3 linked regions of the Lytechinus pictus genome follow. The protein of the gene in region 2 purifies or fractionates together with the protein of the main gene of each other region. This does not show direct contact. Links are inferred from orthologs where the notes say so. Each region holds a gene or a part of one and is shown on either strand. Other genes may lie near its edges.

Region 1 (7,195 bases), on a different chromosome or scaffold from region 2:
ATTTAACTTTGGAGGGGGCGGTAAGTGTATGCGAAGCGCGCTCCCTAGGGGGGAGGCTGCAGGGGGAAGTTTTTGATATCTCATCAAATTTGAATCAAAAGAAGATGTCTCTTGCGTCTCTAATACCCTTATCAACTCAATTTCATGTGACTTGCTGTGATTAAAAACAAAACCTGTTTTCAAAAGAAAAGATAAGTGCCCCCAAAATGGGAAAAGATTGAGGAATTCAAAATAATTCCTCTTACCGCGCAAAGCGCGAAAGCTAAGACGTTTTATAAAAAGAAATTGAGAACAGAAGTGGTATAAAATGCCTACCTTAGTCACTTCAGATTTGATTGTAAAAGCTTTAGCCACAATAGATTTCTTTAACTCGCTAAACAGAGTAGATGCGGGTATATGCAGGGAGGAAATATTCCTTCCCGCAAATGGCGTTGAAGCTCTGAATTTTAGAAATTTCTCTGAAACTTTAACCTGCTCTAATTTTGATATTTCTATAAATAATACGAAGAAAAATGCAACAATGCAAGCTTCAAGAGGGACTTTTCTTTTCTCATGCACGCGAAGCGCGGAAACTTCTGTGAGTTATTTTTTAGGAAAAAAATTTGTGTAATTTCGCTCATAATATTAAGCGCTTCCTTTTGTATGATTAAGAAACTTCTGTGATATTCAAAATTACAAATCAATGGCGCAAAACAGGACAGGAGATGGATGTGCAGCGATATAAATTTAGAATAAAGTTTCATCGTACCAACGTTTGCATAAAGCACGGCACGAATTCAATGCTCCCCCTTTGAGCAGATACTTTGCCAAAAAATTGCTTGCTGAAAAGCGGAAAAAATAGCATTTGGGGACTTCAGGATCAAGTGACGGTATAATAATTAACTCGCTCTGAACAGAAGAGCCGAAATTTTGTGTCATTGCAATAAAAAAAATACTTCTCATTCTCTTTACACCCATGTATACTTTATAATTTCTGGCAAGAATGCGATTACCATGGCCGGGAAGGAGAAAAACGGAGTAGAAAAAAAAAGGTGTGGGAAACAAAGGGGAAAGGCAATTTTTATATTTTTTTCCCGCGCGGAAGAAAAATTTTGTATAAGAAAGAGGTTTTTATTCTTTTGACAAAAAAGAAAGAAAAAACAATAAAGCTATACCCTTCTTCCCTTTTCTTCCTTCACAATTTCTTTTTCTCCCTTTTCCCCTTTTTTTCTTTTTTTTTGGGGGGGCAACTGCCCCCCCCCCCCCTCCTGGCTACTCACCTGAACAGATTCCATTGTTTTAACATGATGTAATCAGGCATACATGTAGTTGAGAGTGAGGAGGAACAAGAAAGAGGGTGGACCTCTTTGAGAGAAGGGAGAAAGAGAAAGAGCAAAAAGTGCATGACAAAATCATATTTATACTACAACTACATATAGATAAGATATATACTGTTATCAAAATTATATTCACCTCATTGACTGTGATGCTGAAAAGTCCAATAGCTACAAGACCAAGCCCTAGCAAGGACCCTGTGAAGCTGTTGCTTACACGTTCGACAAACGTGGAGTCTCCTCTCTTACTATAGGTAGATGGTAGTCTGGAGGCACTAACCCCTGGCAATCCACCTACATTATGCATACCTGGATCATCTGGATACTGCAGATTGAAAAATAAACAAATTCTTCATATAACTAGGGAACCTGAGGTGGTTTTCTGAACATGGTCTTTTCTCAATATTTTTCTCAGAGATATGACAGAATCTGTATTCTGGTGGATTTTATCAAATTGTCATTTAGTTTGTCACTTCTCTATAGCACACACAACAAGAGTGTCGCTAAGGCAAGCATATAATACGCCCGCCTGTAACGTGGTAAATGGAGTTATTGGTCAAGCAAGAAAAGTGGAAGGTGGTAACTTCACCTTTGACCTTCTGACCTCAAAATCAATAGAATTCTTAGGATCTATGCTCGTATCATACACACCAAATTATAAGAGCCTAAGTTAAGTTAAGCTAAAGTTATCGCGTTAACAAGGACTTCAGAAGGGTAAGATGAAAACATGTCACTGCGATCTTGACCTTTGAACTTTCGACTTCAAAATCAAGAGGCTACCAGGGGCCCATTTCTCAACACCGTCATAAGTTTAACTTCTTGACTAAATCGGAGATAGTGAGCTACTTGTCTGCTAACCGTTTCACGAAGCCCTCTTTGCCAACATCGGGGACAACAACCTGATTAAATATTTATGACACCTGCGAACCTGTCATAACTTCTTTCACGTGGGTAGACTGTGACATTCAAAAGTGCCTCGAAATTTGGAAATTATAATCTTACGTAATCAATCATAGAAGTTGAAATTACATTGCAAAACGGGTGTGATAGCTCATTCAATAATAATTGTAATGCACAGAAGCTATAAAAATGGTTGATAAAATGCAACAAAACCATGATCATTTTGAAATAGTAAAATAATTGAATCGATAAAGATTCTACGTCAGGTCATCCATAACTGGACTCGTATTCGTTGTTTTCAGACCCTTATTAACATTTTGATAAATCCTATCTCTAATTTATGCAAAGAATTGGTCAAATTGTGTGTTTCAGTATCTAAAGAATTAAAAATTTCATGTTAGACTATATTTTGATGATGTTTGGAACAATAAATAAACATATAATTATCATTATTTCACAAAGAAAACCATTGTGGTTTACTTCCGTAAATTATCAAAATTTACTATCCCAGGGGTACCCATCTCACATGTGATTTTTTTGTTATGAAATGAATTATCCGTAATTTCATTTTCTCAGCAATAGCATGCTCCAGTCTTCATGGTTCAAGTATGCATGGTACATATTTTTCCTCTTCTATTATTTTGATTGAATGTATATCCAAATTCATCACAATAATTGCAGTTTTATATTTTTGCTTTTTAAAAATTATGCTATTTTGTGACTAAGGCTACGTCTCTTCTGCTCTTTCTACCGATAGTATCAATATCAAGGGACATTTAGTGAAACAGGTTTAGTAAGACTGGAACTAACTCCGTGTTTGGTGGATAAAGATAGAAGGGTAAGATGAAAATATGTCACTGTGACCTTGACCTTTGACCTTTTGACCCCAAAATCAATAGAAATCCTGGGATCCATGCTAGTATCATACACCAAATTTTATGAGCCTAGGTCAAGTCAAACTGAAGTTATCGCGTGTACAAGGAAAAGTTAACAGACGGACGGACACCGAGCGTGATACCATATTACGTCCCGTCTAGACAAGCGTATAAAAATAAGCTGGAAAATCGCGAATTTTGATGACAACAGATCAGGACCAGCCAGGTTCTTCTTCGATAGCTCGATTGCCGTCAGCGCAGCTATATCTGCTGGCTCCTCCTTGTGCTAAGCTGTAGCTGACGGCAATCACTTTCAATCTGTATATTTTCTTGATTATATATATGTCTAAATTGTTTTAAAAATAAAATTATTAATCTCGGCCAAGCTGCTCCGAAGATCCTTTCATACTGCGGTCAAAATCACGCAAACAATCGAAATGTGAATAACAGTCTCGATTCAAGTCGTTGGCGTACAATAGGAAATTGTACAAAAACTCAACAGGTTACACCTCATGTAACAACTTATAGGTGATGTAAGCCATCTTTTGACAAGCTGATGAAAGGGCAATAGGAAAAAAAAATGCTGAGCGCCTAGAACGCAACCAGCAATACAAGCTTCTGATGTAAACAAACAAGCATATTAAATAATACCACGCGCCCTTTCGCAGCTTTCAACGAGAAAAATCCGGATACGAGATGGACGCCTGGGGCCTGTTGCATAAAACTTTTTACCTGAGAAAACTAAGGTTAGTCTGATTTCTGCCATTGACTTTAACGAAGGGCAAAAACTCTGGTAAAAACAACCTGAGTTTTCTCAGGTAAAAAGTTTTATGCAACAGGCCCTGATGTGAGCTACAACCTTCTTCAGCATCAAAAATTATAGTATTATATTTATAGAAAGACAAACAAGAGGGAAAGTGTGGCTTCATATCGTTTGGTAAGTGTCATAGCAAAAAATGATTTCACTAGGAATGTCTAATCTAATGTCTAAAAAATAAAATATTCCCTGGAAGTTTTGCCGGTGTTGTGCCTTGCACTTTCCTGTGCCAATGCCCGAGTTCGAACCTTGAGTACAATTAAGCATCCAAAATTAATTCAATACCTAGAAATTAGACTTTAAAAAAGCCCAGATTTCGAGTGACACTACACAAAACATATGGCGTTTAAACTTGTATGGCTTCCCGAAACAAAAGCCATTTTCGCGTTTGCCCCCTTTTCATTCCCGTGATCCTTTGCAGTGACATACGCTCTCACTCAACAAATGCTATTTGCAATAAGGGGCCAATTGCATAAACCTTTTGCCATAAAAAACTATGGCAAATTATTCGCCAGTTTTTTAATGTGTAATTTTTAATGGCATAATTTTGTTTGCCAGAGTTTTTTAATGGCAAAAGTTTTATGCAACAGGCCCAAGGTCTAGATCTATAGACTAGTCACTCAGCTCACACTAGTGCGATTAGTATTTATACTAACCTCGCACACAGAACCGCATTTAAGCGTTAGCGTTTGGCAGTGGATTTCTAACTAGCATGACTAGTGGGTCTCGCATGCTGCCACGCCGCTGAAACTCGCACATGATATTCAGTGGTACTTGATTAACCTAATGTCCAAGTTTCATGAACTAGATCCATAAATTTTCAAAGTTATGATGGTAATTCAACAAATACCCCCAACTTGGCCAAAGTTCATTGACCCTAAATGACCTTTGACCTTAGTAATGTGACCTGAAACTCAGGCAGGATGTTCACTAATACTTGATTAACCTTATGTCTAAGTTTCATGAACTAGATCCATAAATTTTCAAAGTTATGATAGTAATTCAACAAATACCCCAAACTTGACCAAAGTTCATTGACCCTAAATGACCTTTGACCTTGGTCACGTGACCTGAAACTCAAGCAGGATGTTCACTAATACTTGATTAACCTTATGCCCAAGTTTCATGAACTAGGTCTATATACTTTCTAAGTTATGATGTCATTTCAAAAACTTAACCTTCGGTTAAGATTTTGAAAATAATTCTCCCAACATGGTCAAAGTTCATTGACCCTAAATGACCTTTGACCTTAGTCATGTGACCTGAAACTCAGGCAGGATGTTTAGTAATACTTGATTAAGCATATGTCCAAGTTTCATGAACTAGGTCCATATACATTCTAAGTTATGATGTCATTTCAAAAACTTAACCTTAGGTTAAGATTTGATGTTGACGCCGCCGCCGTCGGAAAAGCGGCGCCTATAGTCTCGCTCTGCTATGCAGGCGAGACAAAAATGACAACTAGAGGAAATACAATCAAGGAAAATTTATACTTGCTATTACAAATATTATGAAAATTATGAATATGATAAAATTATTTTATATTTACCAACCGTTTTTTTTGCATGCATCGCACTTGCTGCATACCCCTGCATGAAGAACAACTATTTTCGTGTGTGACAAATTACATCATGATTCCGCACGCGCGCCAAACGGGTACAGATATTCTTGATTTGAATGATGTAAGAAAGAATTGGTGTGATTGTTTTCTCTTTATATATCATATCATGAGTAAATTCTAAGTTGAAGTTTGCATTTTTTATATCGAATCTGAGCAGATGTTGTTAATAAATTTGTGTTTGCTAACTAATTTTTAGGTTTTTTTCTTTTTAACTGCATGTTCCATGGCACTTTCCAATATTATGCTCGTTCATATCGTGATGCTCATCAGGTTTATCTATGCGCTGTTGACGGCTCTTATCACAGTAAACCTCGTGCACGGTACCTTAGGAACTAGCCGCTACATCAAAGATCACCCAGTCCACACCTCAACATTCGACCGAAAGAGCAGACGAATTTGAAATTCGGCAAATCAGGCCAATATTTCAGTCAGAAAATATATTAATTGTTAATGAAAAACTATATATAAATTATAGATCTACTACTAGATCTAGATCTATAATTGAAGAGCTCACTTGCAAAAGAGGTTAGGTCCATTTTTCATCAAATTTGATTTTTTTTTTTGTCTCAATGTATAGATTTTTAGTAGCTCTATAAGATGATACCAAAGAAAATATGAAATTCCCATTAAAAAGTGAAATAAAATGGCAAAGAAAAATCACCTTTTTCCAAAAGGGGTTAGGTCCATTTCAGTTTAGTTGCAAAAGGGGTTAGGTCCACACTGATTTTTTTTTGGAAAAGAATATTTTAAAAGATATGAAGACAGGTAGATTTCTTTTATACCAAATTTTATGTTCTCATGAGTCATGGTAGGGTATCATGAAAATTTAATTTCACATAAGAATATTGCAATATTGGAAGAAAAAAAAAAAAAAATTCTTGGAGTGGACCTAACCCTTTTTGCAAACAAACTCTTCTGAAGAGCTCTTTGTCAATACGTGGTTATAAATAATTAGTATAAACTACAAATTATTTATAAATTATTAAATTCTAGTATTTGTGAAATAATAATTTGTATCTATTGTTCTTCAAAACGGCATCGCTAGTCGGAAGTACGTCATCATGAAGCTGTTCAAGGGTCAGGTCTATTGTTGACAAACGGATCGAGGGATCTACGGGAGATCGGGTCTGGTAAGAAACGTCTCACTTTTACCATTTATAGTGAAATAATTTTTTTCCCTTTATACGCATTAGGCACCTGAAGGTTCATAGATAAATAAAATTTGACAATACAAACCGATTTCACCCTCTGAAATCCATCTTTGTGTACATGTGTCTCTTATAGATATATGGACGGGGATTTAAGACTCCATGATGAAGAAATATACCGTATGTCAAAATATTTAAAAAAAAACATCATCATGGAGTCCTCAGCTCAGGCTCAAGACTAAGTATTAGTATACTAACCTCGCACCATGAACCGCGTTTGGCAGTGGATTTCTAACTAAAAGTTAGTGGGTCCCGCATGCTGCGATCCCACTTCTGGTGTCCACAACACACGACTTCTATGGCTTTATTTTTCTGTGCGCGGCGGCATGTAATGAACCCTTGAGTGATGCATGTCCGGTACTAGACCAAAAACTTCGGTCTCTGTTATGTTGGTTGTTCAGCTGGGGCCCGTTGCATGACGAGATGAGCGATATGTAGGAACGTCCTAGGACCATTCTTCC
Region 2 (7,320 bases):
ATCCAATGTTGCAGGCAATAAGTTGTGGAAAATAGCCCCAAGAAAAAAAAATAATCAAAATTTTGCCTGCTGCTCTATAGTACAAATAATCGTACAAGTTACTTTGATAGCTTACTGTTATTCTTGGAGCGTTTGTCTTAGAAATGACGCTAAGGAAAATGTCTGGAGACTTCCACTCTTGTAAGAATTTGGCCACTTCCTGAAGGAAAAGACAAAGAGAAGACTTAAAAAGTATAATTTACCCTTTCAAAAAAAAAATCATTATCATTGGTATATCCTACATCCCTAATGTCAAAACCTACACTCAAGTCTCCAGTCTGCTGCAAACTATAAAATCTGACACATTTGCATTGTTTATGATAAATTGAAAATGGAACAATGATCACATTTGATGCTAGGAATACTGAACTCCAAATTCTGCTTTACTGCAAGCTTTTTTTTATCCGTCTGGGAATAAAACCCAAACCAGATTCAAATTGCAACCCATGGCAAGATTGATATCATGACTTGGAATTAAATTCACTTTTTTTCCTGAGGGGAGGCTCCAAATAACCCTGGAATTCTTATTTTGGTATTCATACAACCACTGATATTAAAGATAAATGAAAGTAGTTGCAGTAAACACTGATTTCACGAGAAAGTCTGTAAAACCAGGCTTAATTGTCATTATATCATCGAGGATCTAGACCTGGTACAGTTACATAAACTGAACTTTGTGAAATCTTGAAATCTACGCTGAAAAATGTTCACACTGAAGATCACCAACACAGATAAGCGCACGTGGGACAGTGTATTATTATTGCTTTGAATGTCGGCCCGACGCTTGACCCGAATCCCGTGCTTATTTGCTAATTTCTCAGCAATTACACAATTTCTTCCAGAATCCTTCGGCATATTTTTTATTTTAAATTTTAATTTATTAATATACAAACAGACACTTTGGTGGTCATTTCATTGGATTCTGTACGAACTCATTTTGAAATCGTTACAACTGACATTTATCTTTAATTAAGAAATTTTGGCTTAAGATTTGTACAGGTTTGTATTCTCATATCAGAAGCAAATACAATCTACTTTCGGGTGACACACCATGTGGTGTGTGCAAAGCTTTGTCACATACCACATTCGCAGTCATATCCCACAAACGACACAGTTCATTCTCCAGCTCTTCGTCAATATCAATCCCATCATGCAATTCGGCAGCATCAGCTTCTGTCTGTGAATGCTGCTCTTTCTCAACTTGCTGCAGGAATTTAAAAACAAGGATAAAAGAATCAACAAGAAAAATGGTGAAATAAAAGAGACTGAGCCACAGTAGAGAATAATCAAAACCATCAAAACTTGTTTCATATTAGTAACAAGTGGCATATCAACAATAATTTTGCTTTGGTAACACGAGCACTAATAAATGGGCCCAATCACAACTTTACTGAAAAAAAACAAGGTAAAATATATTCCAAAGAGAGTCTAAATTTTCTGCTAGGTAAGAAAAATCTGATTCACTGAGAAAATAATGAATACAGATTGAGTTCATTACACGATTCATCTAAACTCAAGCTGTACCACACAAAGTAACAGGACTGAGCACAATAGAATCCGAACAGCCTCAACAGGTCTCAAGTATACCTGAAGTACTCCAAGGAGGATTGAAAACACCCAAAACTTGCTTAACATGGACGGTGCCACTGTGGGATTCAAGTGTAGTAACTTCATAAGGATAAAAAACACCCAATGCTTGCTAAATAAGTATGGTGTGTTGAATGCTGGGTCTGGAATATACAAGGTGGGCGTTTCATAAAGCTGTTCGTATTAAAGTTAAGAGCGACTTTAAGAACGACTGGTGATCCTTTCTTGTGGTAAAAAGTATACGCCAAAATGTTCATTGGCGATGGGTTAGCACGTAAGAAAGGATCACCAGTCACTCTTAAAGTCATAATTAACTTACAAACAGCTTTATGAAATGGCCACCTGAAAGTAATTTTGTAAGGATTAAAAAAAACCAAAGGCCAAAGCTTGCTAAACGTGGTGTTTTGAATGGTGGGTCTCAAGTACATGTATACCTGAAGTCATTTCATAAGAATTTAAGTGTTTCGAATGGTGGGTTTCAAGTATACTGAAGTAATTTCATAAGAATAAAAAATTGTTCTGAATGGTAGGTCTCAAGTATACCAGGGCCCCCATCTTACAAAAAGTTACGTTTGATCCGATCAATTGCGACTATGGAAAGCGGCCAGCAAAGTCAACATATACAATGCATGTTTACTCAAAATTTATTTTAGATACGAATGTATATCCATAAATTCATTGATTTTGTGACAGTTCGGTGTGTTCTCCTTTGTTTACAAAGGACATTTTGCACATTTCCTGTAGAAAAAATTATGACACTGATGGATTTCAATAGAGTTACGATTGATTGGATAAATTGTAACTCTTTGTAAGACGGGGCCCAACAATCGCAACTATGGACGGCGAGCAAGGTCAACATCTGTTACGCATGTTTGTTCAAAATATTTTCTAACTAAGATGCATATTCATGCATTCATTGTTTTCTTGAATTCACTATGCTTCTCTTTGTTTACAAAGGACATTGTGCAAATATCCTGTAGACCTGTACAAAAGGTTATGACACTGATGGATTTCCATAGGACAAAGGACATTGTGCAAATATCCTGTAGAAAAAAAATTATGACACTGATGGATTTCCATAGAGTTACGATTGATTGGATCATTGGTAACTGTAAGACACGGCCCAGAAGTAATTTCATAAGAATTGAAAAGTGTTTTGAATGATGGGTCTCAAGTATACCTGCAGTAATTTCATAAGGATTGAAAACACCCAATGCTTGCTAAACGTGGTGTTTTGAATGGTGTCGGCCTCCAGTAAGGTCTTATCTTCTCCCGTTAGGATGTCCTCCGGTGGAGGAGAAGGGTTCCTGATTGGTGCATCTTCTGAGGTCAAAGGTTGCAAAAGGGAATCCCCGGGGATTGATGATGATGAATCCTTGGATTCCATGAATGCAATCTTAAAATAAAAAAAATAAAAAACATTGATTTCCTGTTTTCCAAAAATGGTGTTCTCCATCTCTGAAAATCTTTAATTGCGTTATAATTAATTTTGGGCTGTAGATCTACATGTAATTATTTGCTAAAACTTAGGATCTAAATTTAAAGGTCTAGCTCACCCCAGAAGATTTGAATAAATAAAGACAAATCAAATTAGCATTACGCTAAAGATTCATCAAAATTGGATGTAAAATGAGTTATGACATTTAAAAGTTCCGCATATTTTTTTCGAAAAACAGTACTGATCAATATGCACAACTCAGTGACATGGAAATTATGAGACATGCGATAATGTCCCTCACTATTTCTTTTGTTATATATGCTTGAAATACAAAATTTCATTTTTTACAGATTTGACAATAATTACCCTATATAACCTCGTTCTTGGACGAGTGATATGGACCGGGGGGGGGGGGGCACTTACATGTAGATTGAAGAGTGGATACCATGCGTGACAAAAAAAACACGTAAAGAGGATGTCTTTTTCAAGATAGGGCATGTTATGTACGTAACGTAACAACAGTGTCAAAAACGCTAAAATAATGAAAAAGGGTATCTTTTTTCGCTACGAAAGCTACGTGTTTAGGGTCAAATTTGCGAGGGTATAAAAAATTAAGACTAAAATGTTTCATAAAGGATGTACTTTAGTCCAGAGTCAACACTACATGTTTAGAGTACAATTTGCGCGAGGTGTAGGAGGTGGGGCTGTATTTAAAGGGAAATCCAACCCAAATAAAAACTTGATTTTATAAAGAAAAGAAAAATCAGACAAGTTGATCGGTGAAAGTTTGAACAATATTGGACAAACAACAAGAAAGTTATGAATTTTCAAAAGTTGTAAATATTGGTAAACACTATACCCATGGAGACTTCAAATTGGCCGCATATGGGATGTCATAGTGATGTAAGGCAAGGACTACTCTTCCATGTACTCCAATACATATTATGGCTAAAATGTCATTTTTCCCAAAAGTTTTATTTCAAAATTATATTTTTCTTTCATGAGGACATAAAACAATATACTACCTGGGTTATATTTAGATTACTGCCCCAGGGGAATGGGTACTTAGGAGAAAACCACAAATCCCTGATAATAAAGTACATGGCCTATGGGAAAGTTGTCCTTGTCCCTTGTCATCATTTACTTACCCAGTTGCCAATTTGAAACCTACATAGTATTGGTGATCTCAATTTTAAAGCAGCTATAACTTTCTTATTACTTGTCCGATTTCTTTCAAACTTTCACCATTCTGTTTAATTTAATTTTCTCCTTCCCAACACAACATTTAATGGCCAAGGCTGGATTCCCCTTTAACCCATAGTAGTAAGTAAAGGTAAAACCGACGACCGACGTCCGTAACATAACAATTGAAATATCGCTGTACTTGTTTAGGGTTCAATTCAGGGAATACTTGCCAATAAATAGGCAATAGTATCGTTTTGTTTACAAAAGTTGTTGTTAAGGGTAGGGTTTCACATGCCAAATGTTATGGAAAATACATGTTTAGGGCACTTTTCGAGATCCCATGGTCGCGCATGGTATCCAGACCACACGTCAATGGAAGTGCCCCCCCCCCCCCCCCCCCGGGATATGGACCAACTTGAACGAACCATCTCAAGACTACCCCAGAAAATTGTTGATTGGATAAATAGAGGAAAATCAAACTTGCAATGAGTAGCATAACACTGACAATAACAACGGATGTAGAATAAGAAAGCATCAAGTTCCTCACAGTCACACTTATTCGCTACTGATTTCAAAACATTGCATGCGTGAGGCAGAGGGTCGCAGATCAAACCGTCCTGCATCGAGTTCCTCACACGTATTGTTCGCTGCCAATTTCAAAACATCGTATGTGCATGAGGGTTGCCAACTGGCCTTTTTTCCGGCCAGATTCCCGAAATCTGGCCGTAAAAAAAGTAGCTTGGCCGTGAAAAAAAAAAATTTCACGGCCAAAGAAATTTTCTTTGGCCGTATTCTGGCCGTAAAACAGAAATCTTGGCCGTGAGTTTTCATTTCTGGCCTTTTTCATAATCAGATTGAAAATTTGATCAGAAAATCACTTTAAATTGGTCTATGTATAAACAAATGCAGTCAGGTCTACGGCATATACATAGAGATAGCGTAATTAGTATACATCTCTATGGGCATACACTAACTTATTAGTGCATACATGCATTGCATGTCTGTCTACGCATGACCGCAATCACAGCATGCGTTCTCAAAACGCGCGATTAGTTGCGTGTGATGGAGGGGATTCTTATTTTTATTTGGCAACCAGTCACCAACATCATATTTTCGCCATCATATATATTATATTATTAACGTTTGTTTTCTTAAAAAAAGTAATTGAATAAAGTAAAATTCAAATATTTAGTTCTTTTTCCTTTTTATTTTTTCTTTTTCTTTTCTACGTCTTTTTTTCTCTCTTCTTTTTTTTATAGGATATCTACTAGGATTTAAAATCGAGTAGGTGTGTCTCACAATTTAAAATCAGGGCTTTTACTAAAAATATGTGATAAAAATATGCCTACTAGTATGCAAGTAGGATGACAGAGAAAGAAATGAGGAAAATCACAGCTCCAACAGGGGCGGGTCCAGCTTATCTGAAGGCTGTACATGTTTGGTTAGTCATGACCATATAAAGATGTAATTGCAAAATAAACAGTGTTTGGCTATATAATGTGATTAAAAGTAATCAAAAGCAGCCCAACCTTTACATATTACGTTTTCTTTTTTTTTTCTGTTTTCTTCTTTCTCAATACTTCCTCAACTAATTTTTTTTCTCTCTCTCTCTTGTAATTTTTTTGTCGTGAGTTTGAAAATCCCCCATGAAGCTTGGCATATGATTATTGGCAAAACAAAACAAAACAAAAAAGCTCAATCTTTTAAATGCTCCTCCAATATAGCTGCATGGGTAGTAACTGATGAACTAGACCAAAAGCTTCAGTCTCTGTATTTTGGTTGTTCCGCTGAACTACGTTGGCTCCACTCACCATACATAGACTGAAGGGGATGGGGCCCCGTACCTACAGCCAACGTATAGACTAGTGAACTAGCGTTTTATAGATCGCGATTTAAAACTGTTTTTTAAGCAAAATTGAAAGTTTCATGGTTTCCATTATCAGGAAAATATAAATAACTTAAGTAATTGCATACCTTGGGCCGGAGTTATTGAAAAAAATCCTCTGGATGATTGAGAAATCTGTCATCTAAGACATTTTCACCTGACCTGACGGTTTTTCTTGCAAGTTGCCATCTTGAATGACGTCATTATCGTATTAACTTAATGTCTCGAATCGATATATCGCGATTACAACTAGTACTAGTACTTGTATAACTAGTATCGTTTATCTTCGGTTTCGTTCGCATATGGAGCAGATCGTATAATATCGAAAGCAATATCGATATCACATTCGTGATTGTTGACGTTCGTTTGTAAATATTTTATAGTTTGGCTGCCATTTTGACCATTTTTATCGTGTTCAACCCAATTAAACATCGGTAAAGTATATTTTTCATGCCTTTTTCATCTATATCGTTTAAAGTATTTAAATGTTAAAACATCAAGTTTTAAAAGTTTGTTGTTTATACATCCTTAGATTGTAAATTCGATGTGTAAAATTACATCAAACTTTGGACTGTGAATTGACAAAAGGGAGGGAATGAGAACACATGCGAGCCCACACGTACACCCTACCGTCGGTAAATGGGGATTACAGTAAAATGTCAGAAATTGTTGAATAAATCCCCAGAAACGACGGTTATTCCTGTCTACTGATGAACTAGATCGAAATGCATGGTGCTTTCATCGGCCGTTTTCCTCGAGTCGATAGTCACCAATGTACTGACTTTGCGAACTATTCTCCGCTTCAGCACCCGTTCCGCACGGTTTACATGAGATCTAGGCCTAACTTTTTTTAAAGAATGCAGGCTCTATTAGGGAAGCACATAGCATCATTAATTGAGTATAGGGGTATGTCTAATTTTTGGCTTACCTTTAGAAACCAATGTCATGAATCGATTACAAAAATCTCTAGATTTTAAAACGAGAAAACAACGGATACGACGTACCGGTACTTGTTAACTTTTTTAGAAATTACGTTTTTGAGATACATGGATACTAAGATACGTGGATACACATGGATACGAGGATACGTGGATACTGGGATACGTGGATACTACTACCGTACTGATAACTGGATACATGGATACGAAGATACGTGGATACGCGGATACGTGGATACTACTACCGT
Region 3 (7,381 bases), on a different chromosome or scaffold from region 2:
AAATGAAAAAAGAAATGTTAACACTTTATAAAAAGGCCTCTAATGACCACATCGATAGTAGCCTATTTCTCCAAACCATACCTTACAATGGCCTTCATGACAAGCTCACAAGCCACAGTGGAGGTTTGTTGACACTTGAAAAACCTTGCTCTTATTATTACCAAATAGTTTTTCTGAACTGGAAGGAAGCCAACTTCCTCAATTACTCAATAATGATGATCTCATGATTGTCCCGCACCAAACGCCAGATAGTTTTCAGGCCTTGACCTTGAACCCTGGAACAATACTATCGGAAGCATTCAATGTTATTGATGGAAGTGGAATTACAACCTAAGGATAACATAATGTAGGATAAAATAATAATAGATTACATTCCATAAGGTCATTCCCCAACACCTTGGTTTTGTAGTTCAAGCTGAATATGAACTTTTTTAATAGCTTCATTTTCAAGTTTCATATCAACCACGTTTAGTAACAAATGTTGCATATTCTGGCCTAAAATACCCAATGCTTTGTCAGAGATAAGCGCTCATTTGACTCACAAAGGTTGACTTCATATGAAGAATCTACAGTAGACTTTGCAGGTTGGAAAAGATACATGCAGTAATTGCAAGTTTTTGCAACGTACATGTATGTACTTTTGGGAAAGAAATACATTCCCCCCTTCAGAATTTTTATTTATTTGGGGTAGAGGGAATTGAACCAAGAAAGTATGAAAAACAGTCTGTAGTCTAACCTGTAGTACCAGAGGTAAAGATAAGAGATGCTATTGTGCTATGGGTGATGGGAGCTAGATGATCGGCTGGGAGTGGATTTCCTGTCACGAGACCGGTATCCATGGCAACCATTCCATCAGGAACCTTTGTACCATTGGAGATGCTACCCAAAACCCATACTTTGATTCCAAGTTGCTGCAGTTCAGGAAGGAGCTCCTTGGCAATGTCGATGAAAGCTACATGGAAAAACAGTAAGAAATAAGAATAGTGCTCAGGTGAGTGTACGACAGAGGTACGCATAGAGTTTCTTGCACCGCAATATCAATCAGGGAAGTGGGAGGTTATGACTTCTCCGTATTAATCAATCAGTCTTTTAAAGCTTGGGAACAGGACCTGTGTTTTCAAACTTTTTAAGAGTTTAAACAAACCAAAATCCCGTCTTTGCAAACTCACTATGTATTTAACAGGACATTCACAAGTCATGTGTTGGATTAAAATTTAAAATGTATCATTACATGTAAAACTGAATGACAATAGAATAATAAGATCTGAGAAAATTAAAAGGTCAGACCAAAATATCAGTCTGTGCAAAGTACTGAAGAGCGACCTTGGGTTGATAGACCTTTCTTTTTTTCTTTTTTTATTTAGATTTAACCAAAATTAGAAGAAAAAAAAATTAATTAATCATTAATGTCAAAGCATAATTTATTTCTCTCATTGAATTTTAATATCAATTATGATATCAAATGTGCTTAATAATTTTTGGAGCCTACATGTAACTTCTGGAGATTATTTGTTAATTTTACATGTATTTTCGTACCATGGATGCAAAACAAATGAACATTGAGGGAAAGTAGTGTTCATTTTCAACTATACTTTAGTGGGAATAAGCATATATTTTTGAAGCGCAGAGACAAATATCATCGGAGGCAAGTTATGTGCTTGTTAAAGTTGTAGTAAAACATGGTTAAAAACATTTGTTGGCAAACAGTTGGTTTCCTATCTAGGGAAGTGGAAATTTGATTCAATTCTATCATTTCAATCTTCATTTCATCAAAGTAACATCGAAATACGAGTTGATAAGAAATTAATTGCATGGCTTTCCACAAAGGTAAAATGTATAAGAAACCTGTGAGACTGGATCTTCAATTTGATCTATCACTGGAACTTTTCTCTCTTTTTTAATTCTTACATGTAAAAGTAAAACCAGCCCAGAAGTAAATTGTACGTGTATGAATGATTTATAGGCCTACAATACATTTAAGAACCATTCTTAATTTGCAATACTCTACCAATTAATTGATCGAGAGAAATTATTTGAGCTTATTACTAGACCCATAACAGGAAAAAAAAAATGAATATTCAATTCATCCACAATACACATTATTTTAATTTCCTTTTTCATGTACCTCTTGACATCACTAAGTATCTCGCATTGCTAATTCTCATGCAATGCATCAAGCTCTCTCCTTTCAGGTTGTAATTGAGAAGGCTTGTTCCAACTCCTAGCTTGGCAAAACCTAGCCACATCCATATAAAAGACGGTTCATTCTTCATGAGGACTGCCACTGTTTCATCTTGGCTCAAATCAGAGTTCATCTTTACCCATCGGGCAATGCGGTTGGACTCTGACTCTGCATCTCTGTATGTGTATTTTTCATCTTGATAGAGCAAAAAGGGACGGTCTGGATAATGCGACACTCCATCCGTTAAGACAGTAATGACAGTTTTATTTTTCCTTTCTGCCCCTTTGATGCCAATTAGAGCTTTGGCTAAGCTGGATACATCTTTAAAATCCTGAATGAAATTCGCAATGGAGTTCCTCTTCACTCCGGCCACGATGAGGCTCACAACAAGGGCAGAAAATCCAAAAACTTCCCAGTCTCCCATCTTGGAAATTGGACATAAACGAGATCGAGAGCCTATGTAACTGCCGGTAGAGTGAACAAATTGAGAGAATGATAAATCAGTTATTTTGGCGGCCAGAAAGGCCGAATTAGGAGATTTCCACAACGGCACAGCCACAGGGTTAATTTATAATTAAGCCCGGAGAGACAGGCCTTCGGCCGGTTCACTGCCTCTGTACTGTGTTGAGTCCGCTGCAGATGCGGCACACATGATCACAACATCACTGACTGTCATAATAATACGGCATGTACCATACCGTATGTTTTGCAAAAATAAAGTCTAAAACGAAATATTAATAAATCTTAAACCTGCTCTTATGGTGAAGCTCGCAACTGACTTTCCAGAGAGTGTCTCCAATCATCGAATCAAATGTTCAATTAAGTGAAAATTTGACAGAAAATGTTACCAATCGATGCTAGTCATGCATGGCTCGCAATGTGCACACGAAAAATTGTTGCGAAACAAAAATGAGGGCGGAGTCTAATTTTGGCCAAGCCTCGGCGCGGCCTCGATCGTGTGCGTGAATGAAATTACGGTACGCTTTTGTAAACAATCCGCTGCGGCTGCGGCAATCGAGAGGTATTTTGGAGTTTGGTCGCAAAAAAAGGGGTTAGGTCCTGACCACTTTGGACCTTTCCGAGAACAATCATGTTTTTATTCTCACTTATTGCAATATTCTTATGAGAAACTAGATTGTCATGATTTACACTATTCACCGGCGTAAATCCACTCTGAGGAGTGCAGTGGGGGCCGGGGGGGGGGGGATGATTGACTGTTTTGACGATTTTTTTTTTTCTGTCGATCTCACACTTATAGGTATAAGCACACACTCTCACTGACCCCCACAGACCCTCTTACACACATTTTAATATTTATTTTGCGAGCGAGCGAATCAAGTGAGCCAAAAATAACAAATTTTTTTCTAGTTTTTAATCGCATTTTCTAACAGAAATTCTAAAATATGAGCGAGCAAAGCGAGAAAGCCAAAAATAACAACTTTTTGGGTTTTCAATCGCATTTTCAAATAGAAATTCTAAAATATGATGGTTGTTTATGACAGATATTCAAAGATTTAACGGATCAATTAAAATATATTTTCTTTCTTAAAAAGTGGGGGAATATTTGTACACGCCATCCCCGGCCCCTCTCAAAAAAGTGGGGGGATATATCCCCCCCCCCCGGGATTTACGCCAATGACCCTAAGTAGGCCTATTATGAACATAAAATTGGGTGTAAAAGAAATCTACCTGTCTTTTTCTATATATTTTTCAAAAATTATCATTGTGGACCTAGCCCGTTTTGCAAGCAAACTGAAGTGAATCCAATCTCTTTGAATAAAAGAAATTTTTTGCCACTTTTATTCACGTTATTTCATATTCTTTGATATCATCAGAGGCTTTTCAGAGCGACTAAAAATCTATTGAAAACAACGAAATTTATGAAAATTTGATCTAACCCATTTTGACATGTTTGACAAAATTAATGAACTGTTCAGAAGAGTTTGGTTGCAAAAGGGGTTAGGTCCTCTCCAAGAAAATCTTTTTTTTTAATTCTCCCATATTGCAATATTCTTATGCGAAGCTAAATTTTCATGATACCCTACCATGTGAACATTACATTGGTTATAAAAGAAATCTACCTGTCTTCATATTTTTCAAATACTATGTTCTAAAAAAAATATGTGGACCTAACCTCTTTTGCAACCAAACTGAAATGGACCTAACCCCTTATGAAAAAAAGAGATTTTTTTTGCCATTTTGTTCACTTTTTAATGGAAAATTCAACTTTTCTTTAATATTTTCTTATAGAGCAATTTAAAGTCTAGTGAGACAAAAAAAAAATCAAATTTGATGAAAAAATGACCTACCCCTTTTGCAACTGTGCCCATCATGTTTGGATTTTTTTACAGCATTTTATGTCTAAACTGAACAGACCTGGGTTATGTTTATCATTTTTTTTTTTCAATGACAAAGGCAATTAGGTTAGGCCTTATCTGTATAACACGCTATTAAGTTGATGATATTTGTTCAAAATCTATAGTTAAGCAGTATAATGTAATATTTATTTTGTCTCACTGGTTTGCAGATGTCAGAGGAGTAGGCTTACAGGGACCCTGTCATTCCCCCAGAAAGTGTTTGATTATTATATACGACACTAAGTAATCTTTATTTCCTTTTGGGGGCGGGGCGAGGATCAAGCCAGTTATGAGACATAGTGGTTTACCTAACATTATATCATACTCTATCACAAAATTACATTTTTCATTAAAAAAAGGTCCCAGTTTTAGCTAGTTCATTCGCTTATGACCTTTCCCCCTCCAATTTACACACAGTTTTGACCCGTAGGCCTACATAGCTGGCCTGCCCCTATATTAGCTCACACGCACTGAAATGAGCGCATCAAGTTAATTGCCTTTTTATCATGGTTTCCAGTACATAATCGGGTATTCCATTGTTGTTGTTTTTATTAATGTGTTTTTGTTGTTGTTCATTGTGTTTGCAGTACAGAAATATGAGAGCAACTGTGGACTTGTGAAAGAAGTTATAATTCGTGTTGTAAACGAGATAATGCAGCTGTCGTAGATGGCGTGACCTATACGATTTTACAATGTTGGAGATTAATTTCGTTCTCAGATGAGAAGATCAAAAGGAAGAAGAAGAAAACAAGGATAATGAATGTGTGCGAGTTTTTGTTTAAAAAGAAATCATATAAATATATATATATATATACCACATCTTACTGTGATTTTTGCATCCCCCCCCCCCCTCTGCCACTTTCATCATCCCTCCGTTTGACGGATTTGCACCACAGAAAAAAATATTGATTTGAATATAGAGAAAAATCAAACAACAACAACTTACACTGAAAATTTCATCAAAATCGGATGCAAAATAAGAAAGTTGTGGCATTCAGGGACCTGGGAAGCGGGGGTGCTGGGCGTGTATTATTTTCCATAGGCAGCACCCCCACGAAATCAGGTTCCCTTTGTATTTTTTTATATATGTTATAATGGACATAATTATCACATCCGACAATCGCAAATCATTTACATAGTCTTTCACATTCGTATATAATGCGACTCAATCAAGCTCCGATACAGACGTGGTCGCGCGCGATACGTGGTGATAACCACACTACTCGATATAGGCGAGCGGCGAGAGGCCAAAATTTGGGACTTTAATCCCCCCGACTGGATCAAAGCAAAAACATGCATCATTTTAAAGGAAATTTTCTGAATTTTTCAGAACTGAGAATTAAAAGTGTCGCAAAGTGTAGCTTCACCATGGAAACCAGCCTTGAATAGGCCATGCCCATTTTTGTGATAAATGCAAAGCAGTAACTTATTATTTATATTTGTTAATCAATTACACTAATTTATATATAAATATAGACTTTACAAGGATAAAATCACTACAGATTGAATGATATGATAACGCCTAGCAACCAAATATATATTTCATACATATTTGATTTCAAAACTGTTGCATAGCAACAGTATTTTCCCTAGCAACCATATTCACTTTTCAATATTCCTCTTTTTTACCAGATTAATTAATTTTATATAATTTTTTTAAGTTTTTAATTTGTAAAAACTAATAAAGAAGGTGAATTTTGATGAAAAATGAATAAAAGAGGAAGACTAGGATGTATAATGCATTTATGATCATGAAAAATTACATTATTGCCATGTTTGATTAACCCCTGCATGTGACGGATATCACTATTTTTGTGTGTATTATAGGACTATACGCATCAGTATGGTCTATTATCATTGAATGGGTTTTATGATATTGTTATAAATCATTCTTATACCCTGCTGTGTCATGTTATCTGTTCAAATCTAAATAATTGAGTATTAATAGATTTTTCTGTTACCTATGGAAACCATTATGTTGCCTAGCAACAGCATTTTCCCTAGCAACCATATTTTTTTCAGCGATATTTCAAGCCTGTACCTCCCCAAAATTCCCTTTTTTGGTCCTCAAAATGCATCTTATACTATTCTAAGCATTTATCGTGGTGATGGCAATTAATTTCAGCCATCTGGCCAGGCAGTCGGCATATTGAGAGATGGCATGGCTGTATGCACAAAAATTTTCCTTGGGGTGGCAAGACGACTAAAAAAATCTCCATGAAACAAAGCGAGGGAGCGAAGCGACTGAGTTTGACAAGGGGCGCTTTTTCATAGTATATTGAAGGATATCATGTACACCTTTGGTGAATTTTGTGAAAATTTTCAGTTTAACAATTGTAATTTTTTGCTGCGTACGGAAATGGGAGAGGAAATTGGTGTTTTTAACAATATCATTTAGTTTTTTATTTGGAACATTTTATCATATAACATTTTAGGAAGGTTAATACATATGGGCAATTCCAGCGTAACGGACATGACGTTCAGACAAATTTTTGTAATTCAAAGGTTTATACATTAGAATTAGCAGTCTTTTGATAATTGTTACTAAGCTTATCAGACACATTTAAGTATCAGTTACATACACATAAAATTTCAAATCGTTTCGTTGAACAGTCGCGGAGAAATTGCACTCTTTGTTAGCGTAACGGACATGACACGAAATGGACAAAGCATTTTTACCTCCTATATTGCTTATCAAAATTCCTGTGAATTCTTAGATTGCATGCACCTGACGTTGGTGTTAATTTAACCGTAAGATCATGCTCTATCCATAAAATGGTGTTTAACAACAGTTTTGCAGTGCATTCTGTATTCATAGCTCAAAATGTAGCGTAACGGACAT

The links.
Region 1: the proteins of protein saal1-like (region 2) and transmembrane protein 43-like purify together in Homo sapiens (affinity purification with mass spectrometry; 3 studies listed by BioGRID and IntAct, with this or other methods). This does not show direct contact. The link is inferred for Lytechinus pictus from reciprocal best matches to the Homo sapiens genes SAAL1 and TMEM43.
Region 3: the proteins of protein saal1-like (region 2) and long-chain fatty acid transport protein 2-like purify together in Homo sapiens (co-immunoprecipitation; 3 studies listed by BioGRID and IntAct, with this or other methods). This does not show direct contact. The link is inferred for Lytechinus pictus from reciprocal best matches to the Homo sapiens genes SAAL1 and SLC27A2.

Annotation. Positions count from the first base shown.
Region 1 is NC_087247.1:40,343,503-40,350,697, reverse strand, and holds the start of transmembrane protein 43-like, read right to left. Parts: upstream 3,111-7,195; 5' UTR 1,621-3,110; coding exon 1,453-1,620; intron 1-1,452. UniProt on the Homo sapiens protein: May have an important role in maintaining nuclear envelope structure by organizing protein complexes at the inner nuclear membrane. Required for retaining emerin at the inner nuclear membrane.
Region 2 is NC_087253.1:7,260,551-7,267,870, reverse strand, and holds the start of protein saal1-like, read right to left. Parts: upstream 3,023-7,320; 5' UTR 3,014-3,022; coding exon 2,807-3,013; intron 1,244-2,806; coding exon 1,121-1,243; intron 200-1,120; coding exon 116-199; intron 1-115. UniProt on the Homo sapiens protein: Plays a role in promoting the proliferation of synovial fibroblasts in response to pro-inflammatory stimuli.
Region 3 is NC_087249.1:15,476,994-15,484,374, reverse strand, and holds the start of long-chain fatty acid transport protein 2-like, read right to left. Parts: upstream 3,088-7,381; 5' UTR 2,607-3,087; coding exon 2,126-2,606; intron 953-2,125; coding exon 737-952; intron 1-736. UniProt on the Homo sapiens protein: Mediates the import of long-chain fatty acids (LCFA) into the cell by facilitating their transport across cell membranes, playing an important role in hepatic fatty acid uptake.